Linked DNA regions of Saccharomyces cerevisiae S288C. The protein of the gene in region 1 interacts with the protein of each later gene in a biochemical or structural test. Each region holds a gene or a part of one and is shown on either strand. Other genes may lie near its edges.

Region 1 (6,691 bases):
ATCGAGTTTGCTCCTGTCGCGGCCATTATAGGGGGTGCTGTAGCGCAGGATGTCATTAACATTCTAGGTAAAAGGCTATCTCCATTAAATAATTTCATTGTTTTTGATGGTATTACATTAGACATGCCACTTTTTGAGTTTTAGATATATACATACCTACTATACTGTAGTTTCAGCCAAAAAAAATAATAAAAAAAGCATAATTGGAGGCAGTAAAGCATTATAGTCATACACAATAATAATAATAATAATAATAATAATAATAATAATAATAGTAGTAGTAGTAATGGTAATAAAAAAGTTAGAAAAGAAATTAGATACAGATATTCGTAGTAAAGGCCACGCAGTACAAAAAAGACGGAGAATATATTATATAAAATCCTCTACTCTTTTCGTTCAGGTCCAAAGGAAAATTCTTGCACGCGCAATGGACTGAACAGGCCTTATATTATACAAAAAGCCTAATAACGATCAAATAAAACAAAAGAAAGCCGTTGCTCCTATGCCTGACCAGAGACGGCTACTTGTTGTAAGTGAGTCATGAAATTTTGTAAGGAAACATCATCTGTTAAGACAATTGTAGATCCTCCGCGCGCCATGTCTTGATAGTTATCGGAAGGATTCAATTTAGATAACAAGAATCTGGCTTGAGAACCACCGGCTTCAGTATCAATGAATCTTGGTAGCGGGAACCTATCTACTAACAATTCTGCGGCTTCTAATTTTGGCTCTTCAAGAAGAGCTTTGAAATCTGCGTACTGTGGATCGTCTTGGTAACCGGCTTTTCTCCATTGAGCGATTTGCTCACCGTGGTATATTAAGATGAAGAAAAATGTATCTAATAATAGAATGGTATTGGGTTTGACGGAGATAGAGTCTAATAATACCGGTTGTGGATCGTCCTCCATTGAGAAAGAAGTTAGAGTTGGTTGAATCATGATTAAAGAATTAGTCGTATCCTCTCTTGTGAAAATATGTCTATAAAATGCAGTTTCATCCGGAGAATTGTTAAAGACACTTAAGAATTGGGATCTTCTTAAATAATAGGTAAATTGAGGATACAGTGAGAAATTTGGAGCCAACCTGAAAGATTGAGGATCATCTTTATTATAGTCGGCGTACTTTTGACATAGCTTAATCAAAGTTCTGTCTAACCATCTAATAACATCTGCACCATCATCGGTTTCAGCCTTGTGAACAGCAATACGAGCCATCAAAACGGCAGCAGCTTCTTGATCGAAAGAAGCTGCAATGGCAGGAGTACCGAAGGGCAAAAGCTGGTTTGCGACCGTGGTGACTCTGATACGGTTGGTACCAGAGGAGTGTTGATAAGTAGTGATGAATTGAGTATATGCTAGATGAGGTCTATCTGCTGAACCAGGGGCAGACATCATTGGGTTAGAATTAGCCGCAGTGTTTGCAATTTCAAAGAAAATCGCATACGAGTGATAAGGCGATAAGGAAGCCATCTTCCAGGTGGACGTTGCACCTATACCGATTTCAGATTCACTGATGTTGTTAGCGTCTGTCTTCTTTACAGCAGAAGCATGCCCAATCAAACCTTGTACCTTCAAGTCTTTACTTGTCTTGACTGCCATATTACCATTGAAAGCCATCTTCAAATACCCTTCTTCATCCTTGGCAAACAATCTCAAGTATGATTGCTTAAAAATCGCGGTAGAGAAGGCATCGGTTAGCAACAACACACCTCCAGTAGAGTCGGTCAACTGTTTCATTTCAGACATACCGATTTGATCGTAACAACCGGCAAAAATATCAACAGTGTGTCCATTGGCGGCAACTCTTTGTGCAATCTGGTTGTAAAACTTACAGGCCTTCTTGTAATGTTGCGCGTGATCAGAATCGATGTCGTGGTGGGATCTTAAGGGATCTTTTAACTCTGAGTTAACAATCAAACCTGGGGCCACGGTGCCTGGACCGGAGGCGAAAAGAATGATTCTTGCTGGGATGTTCTTATAGCAGCCCTGTAAAAGCAAAGATGCAATGTTCAAAGCGGAACCTGTGGCCCTTAATGGCCTATGACCCGCTGGAACAGACCATTGGTCTGGAGACAGATTTTCCAGTAATTGATTCAGTTTGAACTCGACCTGTTCCAAGGGCAGGAAGAACCTATTCAAAGAGAAGGGCGTAACTTTGTTCATGGCGTTCGGTAGATGAGATGCAGCACCGCCGGGGCCGGTAGGCTTTTGGCCGGTCAACATTTCCGTCAACGCTTCGAGCTGGTACTCCCTGTCTCCTCTGAACACGTTGCACCTGTCAATAGTTTCGCTGGACAGATCGTGCAATTGAACAACGTTTCCGTAAGTGATCAACCCAATCAGCGCGTTGGGAGGTAATAGAGACAAAGAAGTGATGATAGACTCCTTTAGCGAATCGAGGTTCTCGGTTTCCGAAGTCAAATCCACAACAAAGAAGAAAATGGGAGGAACGGTAACGGGCTTATTGGTGATGTACTCAATGGTGGTGGACTGTAACTCTAGCGGCATATTCTCCTGTGACAAGTTGGTGTACTGTGGAGGTAAATGGTTCCTGGAGTTACAGATGGGACAACTCCAGGACGAATTGCGCGGATCAATCACACAGTAAGGATTTAGAATCGACTTACAGTGTGGACCGGAACACACAACTGGATTGTATGGGGCAACGTTCAATTCGTCATACTCCTTCAAAGGTGTGTACAAACAGCCCACAGGGACGACGTTGCTGTTAGCGTCGCTTCTAGTAGAGGGAAACACGTTCCAGGTGAAACGGACCCCGTTGATGTCTTCATTAGTCTCGAAGTCCATGGCTAGAAAAGAGGAAGGGGAGGCAGGCGACAGACAGATAAACACTGGCTTCAGTTAATTGTGTGTCTTGCTGAACGTGGAAAGATCACAACAAGTATCTTTTTTTCTTTTTTCAAACGTGTTTTTCTTTTATTCTTGCTAGAACTTTCCTCCTTTGTAACAAACGAGAGGCGGCGGGCTAGTCGTCGCAAGCGACAAATCTCAACTGACAGTAAATAACGGTGATAAAACAAAATTAGCGCAATCTCTCAAACTACTGAGGACAACCAACTTGAATTGCACTCTTCCAAGTTGTAGCATGGCTTGGGGGGTGTGTGATCCCATCCTGTATTATGGCAAAGCAGGCAAAACAACCGCTCTGCCGTCCGGGTAACTTTTCTTGTTCCACCTCTTTTCCCCAACATATATGAACATGAGATGGTAAGAGCAAGAAACAACGGTTCTATGAGCAACGCAAAAACAGCACAGCACACACAGCACCGCGTACTATACCACACCACACACTACGTCACAACACAACAAGACAATGAGCGAGAGCAGTGATATCAGCGCGATGCAGCCGGTGAACCCGAAGCCGTTCCTCAAAGGCCTGGTCAACCATCGTGTAGGCGTCAAGCTTAAGTTCAACAGCACCGAATATAGAGGTACGCTCGTGTCCACGGACAACTACTTTAACCTGCAGCTGAACGAAGCAGAAGAGTTTGTTGCGGGTGTCTCGCACGGCACCCTGGGCGAGATATTCATCCGCTGCAATAACGTGCTGTACATCAGGGAGCTGCCGAACTAAGACGACTGTGCTCATCTCCCTTACATACCAGTATATTTACATACGCCCTCTACTGTAATACAATATCATTCTATAGCACTCGCATCGCGTATTTTTTTTTTATTTTCTTGCTTTATATTGTTCTATTTTTCTTCCTTATTCCTGCCTCTGGATTTCCCTCGCATGACAAATAGCGTGGAAAAATAAAGGATTTCCAGTATTTGAAAAATTTTCAGTATTCTTACGTGTTCCTAACTCATATAGACCGCTATTGTAATAACGCTATCGCTTCAATTACACACAAACATACACGCACCCACAATGAGCATCGAATACTCTGTTATCGTTCCCGCTTACCATGAAAAGCTGAACATCAAACCCTTAACAACCAGATTGTTTGCCGGCATGAGCCCTGAAATGGCCAAGAAGACCGAGTTGATCTTTGTCGATGACAACTCACAGGATGGCTCCGTTGAGGAGGTGGACGCCCTAGCTCACCAAGGCTACAACGTCCGCATCATCGTCAGGACAAATGAACGTGGTCTATCCTCCGCCGTGCTTAAGGGTTTCTACGAGGCCAAGGGTCAGTACCTGGTATGCATGGACGCAGACCTACAACACCCTCCAGAGACCGTGCCCAAGTTGTTCGAGTCTTTGCACGATCACGCCTTTACTCTGGGCACCAGATATGCCCCAGGTGTCGGCATTGACAAGGACTGGCCTATGTACAGACGCGTCATTTCCTCCACTGCTAGAATGATGGCCAGACCTTTGACCATCGCCTCCGACCCCATGAGCGGGTTCTTCGGTCTACAAAAGAAGTACCTCGAAAACTGCAACCCTAGGGACATCAACTCGCAAGGTTTCAAGATTGCCCTCGAGCTTCTCGCCAAGCTTCCTCTTCCAAGAGACCCTAGAGTGGCGATCGGCGAAGTGCCATTCACTTTCGGCGTGAGAACGGAAGGTGAATCCAAACTGTCAGGTAAAGTCATTATCCAATACTTGCAACAACTTAAGGAGCTCTACGTCTTCAAGTTTGGCGCCAATAACCTTATCCTTTTCATTACTTTCTGGTCCATTCTGTTCTTCTACGTTTGCTACCAGCTATACCATTTGGTCTTTTAAAGGAAGTGAATGGTAACGAAAAAAAAAAATCTTTCTTTATATGTCTCTTTAAGTACTCCCTTTCAGTTATATGCCTTTTATTGTCTGTCCCTATTCTAATCCTCTACTCGGGCCATCATTGTTAACGTAATATTTGCCCTAGGGTAAAAACATTAGGTTGATTAGGCCATAACTCATTCTGCCCCACCCCCACACATAGGGTTCAGGAACTTGGTTTTCAACCCTACTGCATTGTTTCCCACGCGGCGCTACCAAAATATATCCAATTTTCTTTTTTGTCACAACAGCAGCAACCCCTTGAAATGGCCAATTCTTCTCGAGACTTTGCTCCCTTAATCTTTTCTTCCCCCCCGGTTTCTTGATGATTATATATACTAACCTCGTATATTACACACTGTACTTGAAGTCACTCATATCCGAATACTACTTCTCTTAACTTCCAGTCAACCCGACACCCACAATCGTCCTTAGTATATAACTGCTTTATGAATAGATCATTACTGCTACGTTTGTCGGATACCGGTGAACCCATTACAAGCTGCTCTTACGGAAAAGGTGTCTTGACGCTACCACCAATTCCGCTCCCTAAGGACGCCCCAAAGGACCAACCGCTCTATACGGTCAAGCTACTGGTATCTGCAGGTTCCCCTGTCGCTAGGGATGGGCTAGTTTGGACTAATTGCCCACCAGATCACAACACGCCCTTCAAGAGGGACAAATTTTACAAAAAAATCATTCATTCCAGCTTTCACGAGGATGACTGCATTGACCTGAATGTCTACGCTCCAGGCTCGTACTGCTTTTATCTATCTTTCAGGAACGATAACGAAAAACTTGAGACAACAAGGAAATACTACTTTGTTGCCTTGCCCATGCTTTATATAAACGATCAGTTCCTACCTTTGAATTCCATCGCTTTACAAAGTGTTGTATCGAAATGGCTGGGCTCTGACTGGGAGCCCATCCTATCGAAAATTGCCGCTAAAAACTACAATATGGTACATTTCACCCCTCTACAGGAAAGAGGCGAGTCTAACTCGCCTTACTCTATATACGACCAATTGCAGTTCGACCAGGAACACTTTAAGTCTCCTGAAGACGTGAAAAATTTAGTTGAGCATATACATCGCGATTTAAACATGCTTTCATTAACAGATATTGTTTTTAACCACACAGCTAATAATTCTCCTTGGTTAGTTGAGCACCCGGAGGCTGGGTATAACCACATCACTGCGCCACATCTAATCAGCGCCATAGAGCTCGACCAAGAATTGCTCAATTTTAGTAGGAATTTGAAATCCTGGGGCTATCCTACCGAACTGAAAAATATAGAAGATCTCTTCAAGATCATGGACGGTATTAAAGTGCATGTTTTAGGGTCGTTGAAACTGTGGGAATATTATGCGGTAAACGTGCAAACAGCTCTTCGGGATATCAAAGCCCATTGGAATGACGAATCTAACGAAAGTTACAGTTTTCCCGAGAATATTAAAGACATCTCGTCCGATTTCGTAAAACTAGCTTCCTTTGTGAAGGACAACGTCACTGAGCCTAACTTCGGCACTCTTGGTGAAAGAAACTCAAACAGGATTAACGTGCCAAAATTTATTCAACTACTGAAGCTCATTAACGATGGTGGTAGTGATGACAGTGAATCTTCGTTGGCCACGGCTCAAAACATCTTGAACGAGGTCAACTTACCCTTATATAGAGAATACGACGATGATGTCAGTGAGATACTCGAGCAACTGTTCAATCGTATCAAATATTTGAGATTAGATGACGGTGGGCCCAAGCAAGGTCCAGTGACCGTTGACGTGCCCTTAACAGAGCCTTATTTTACGAGGTTCAAAGGAAAAGATGGTACTGATTATGCCCTCGCCAACAATGGCTGGATATGGAATGGTAACCCACTAGTGGATTTTGCATCGCAGAATTCAAGAGCTTATTTACGTAGAGAAGTTATCGTGTGGGGGGACTGTGTCAAGTTAAG
Region 2 (3,418 bases), 760 kb from region 1:
TGAGGGTGCGCAGATCAAAACTGTCTCGGGTATCCGTGGTGAAATCAAAAGGGCACTTTCAAAGCCTGAGGGTCACTATAGGGCAGCCTTTGAGGATAAAATCCTAATGAGTGATATTGTAATTCTAAGATCATGGTATCCTGTCCGCGTCAAGAAATTCTATAATCCTGTTACCTCACTATTGTTGAAGGAAAAAACCGAGTGGAAAGGTTTAAGATTGACAGGCCAAATAAGAGCGGCTATGAACCTGGAAACACCGTCGAATCCGGACAGTGCATATCATAAAATAGAACGTGTAGAAAGACACTTCAATGGTCTAAAGGTCCCAAAAGCTGTTCAAAAGGAATTGCCATTCAAATCTCAGATCCATCAAATGAAACCACAAAAGAAGAAAACATATATGGCTAAAAGAGCCGTGGTGCTAGGTGGTGATGAAAAGAAGGCAAGATCATTCATTCAAAAAGTATTGACGATTTCGAAAGCCAAAGACAGCAAGAGGAAGGAACAGAAGGCTAGTCAACGTAAGGAAAGATTGAAAAAATTAGCTAAGATGGAGGAAGAAAAATCACAAAGGGATAAGGAGAAAAAGAAAGAATACTTCGCCCAGAATGGTAAAAGAACAACTATGGGCGGTGACGATGAATCTCGTCCACGTAAGATGAGGAGGTAAACTTTCATGTATATATATATATATACATATATATATGTATACTTAAGATGTATCATACTTTTATTCAATCTTAGAGTCTAAAATATACTATGATCGCGGAAATGCTGTGCTCAAAAGTTATGAGGTGGCATCCTATGCAATTTTGTTGATTATTACAAAGCTGTTGAATTCATGTGAATGTCATATAAAGGGTATAGATGTATACGTCAATTAAATATATTGAGATAACCATTGGAACGCCTCTAAATAACCATTTCTCATAACAACGGAACACATGAAAACTTCAACTGGTCTTTGACCTTCAATTCTTTGAGAGCCAGTGGTATTCAATAATCCTAAAGCAGAACGTAGCTCCGCTTCAGAAACGGCGTTTGGAGCATCGATCTTGTTACCAAGAATTACAAAAGGAACGTCCTTCAATTCGGCAATGTTGAATAAAGCATCTAATTCGACACGTGCTTCATCAAATCTTTCAGGGTCAGCAGCATCGACTAAAAAGACGATACCATTAACTTCTGGGAAATAATCCTTCCATAAACGACGAGCTTGAATATGACCACCCAAATCGAAAGTTGTAAACTTAATGTTACCAATAGCCAGTTCTTCAGAAGTTGGATGCCATGTTGGTTGTAAGGTTGCCAATCTATCGTTCTTTAACATATGTAGCAATGTGGTCTTACCGGCATTATCCAAACCCAAGAAAAGTAGTTTACCATGTTTGTTCCACAGACCAAGGGAAGCCAACACATCTCTGACTGTACAGTAAAATAAAGTTAGTAAAGGACGCAATTTCTTCTAGAAAAAAAAAAATAGATCTTAAGCTGAAAACATTCAATGTTTACCACATTGAATAAAACTAAGTATCCGAAAAACGTGAACAGGGTGATAACATACACCAACCAAAAATATCCCAACCAGCCATTATTCCAATTATATATTGTTAGTTATAATGATGTTTCTAGAAAAGAAGGAAATAAATCTACTGTTTGCCTTTCTAGAGGATCCATTACAATAACTATTTGACAAGTAATTCGTTTCCTTTTGGTTTTTTATGCGATCTCTTGTTCGAGTTTTCTGGTCAACGCGTTGCAGACGGAGTTGTCGGGTAATGCGGGCGTATACGATATAATGATAGAACGATATAATGTACAATACGGCCATGTTGAGCGCGAATTTTAGAAGTGCCATCCTGCAGGAGCTTTTCGTAAGCTTCTGTATACTATAGGTACCTATCGAGGCCAGCACACGTTTAATTATGCGGAATTACTTTCTTAGCATTAAAAAAGAAATAAAATAAAATCCAAAAAAAAATAAATAAATAAATAAAAATAAATACTATGAAAAGAAATAAGGGAAGGAACAAATGAACCTGCATAATACATATGCAAAACTCATGTGTTTCCTAATGCCTGTCTTGTATCATCAAGGATATGCAATGTTTTTTCTAATTTTTCACAAGTAATCATTAATCCATCGAAATTAACACTCGCCATGAAAGAAATTTCCAGTTTGGTCAGCAGTCTTTTTGAAATACCGAAGACTTTGCAAATGTAGTTTTGTGAGTGGACAAAGTCTTCTAATAGCTTGGTGGCAATTCTTATTGTAGATATGATGATCCTATGGGCTTGGTCCTCCTGTAATTTAGCCTTCAACTTTATGGGACCGTCCATTTCGTCTCTCGTAAGAAACACAAGTTGAAGTAGATAGGTGGCTCCAAGATAGACTACGGCACCAAACATGCATTTATTCTGGATTCTGTCGATAAAATCTCTGAATGATAAGGAAGGTGGGTTCTTCATCACAAAATTAACAAATTTTTGAGGATCTTCGGAGGAAATCGCTAAAGTGTTCGCATTATCGTTAATTTTCTTAGATAGTTGTAAAATTAATTCGATATTCTCACGGAACTTAGATAGTGCTTCATCGTCTGACAATTCTGGTATTTTCGGTATTGATTCGTAATGATCCAATAATAAAGATATTCGTCGTAGCTCTTTTTCATTTTCCTGCTCACATTCAATGCTTAGCACTTTCAAATCTGGTGGTTCCCCATTGGGGGCAGAAGACGGGGGATAGGGGAAAGAATCAAATTTTGTGTAGTCCAGGATCTCCGAACTCTCATTTTCATCTGTTTCGTTATTGGTAGTGTTTCCACTTTCGTGAGAGTGATTATCAGTATCTATCTGACTATTCGAATTCACTTTATTCGTATATATTTTTTCCTTATCAGACGTGGATAAAGCCTTGTCTAATAAGCTGTAACCGTGGTGTTCCACAGTGGGTGTAGTAGAGCTAGCATTTGCAAGGGGATCCAGGAGATAATTATCGTCATCATTGTCCAACTCCGTATCGCTAAGAGCAAAGTTGGACATGGAATCTAAGCGTCCGGTACCTTGAGTTGCTGTGTCACTCTTTACTCTCCCAGGTAACTTGCCACTGCCGCTCAATAGCTCTGAGTTAAAGCTATTTACCTTGTCAATGTTGTTAGCGAGGTAATCGTTGATTTCATTGGCTGACTGGATCAGCTGTTCTACCCCCATTTTTTTACTGGACGGGCTTTTCAGGTTGAAATCTGTATTGAAGTCATTGTGAAGTTGCTGATGTTGCTGTTGCTGCTTTTGCTGTTCAAATCTCACCTTCTTGGACGGACCATGCAAACTAGAAAGCGGGTCTAACACGTCATTTACTTCTGAAAAGTTCCTGCTTTGAGAAACGCCTACCTTAAGTGGAAGGTCAAAAACGTCTTCT

Evidence for each region.
Region 2: the proteins of SEC23 (region 1) and SAR1 form a complex in vitro, tested with the Saccharomyces cerevisiae proteins (6 studies listed by BioGRID, with this or other methods).

Annotation. Positions count from the first base shown.
Region 1 is NC_001148.4:896,861-903,551, forward strand, and holds SEC23 (GTPase-activating protein SEC23), read right to left. Parts: upstream 2,808-6,691; coding exon 501-2,807; downstream 1-500. Other genes in the region: E1 ubiquitin-activating protein AOS1, read left to right, coding at 1-144; mRNA splicing protein SMX3, read left to right, coding at 3,334-3,594; DPM1 (dolichyl-phosphate beta-D-mannosyltransferase), read left to right, coding at 3,895-4,698; GDB1 (bifunctional 4-alpha-glucanotransferase/amylo-alpha-1,6-glucosidase), read left to right, coding at 5,184-6,691. UniProt on the Saccharomyces cerevisiae protein: Component of the coat protein complex II (COPII) which promotes the formation of transport vesicles from the endoplasmic reticulum (ER).
Region 2 is NC_001148.4:136,872-140,289, reverse strand, and holds SAR1 (Arf family GTPase SAR1), read right to left. Parts: upstream 1,593-3,418; coding exon 1,565-1,592; intron 1,426-1,564; coding exon 881-1,425; downstream 1-880. Other genes in the region: GTPase BMS1, read left to right, coding at 1-670; PCL8 (Pcl8p), read right to left, coding at 2,062-3,418. UniProt on the Saccharomyces cerevisiae protein: Small GTPase component of the coat protein complex II (COPII) which promotes the formation of transport vesicles from the endoplasmic reticulum (ER).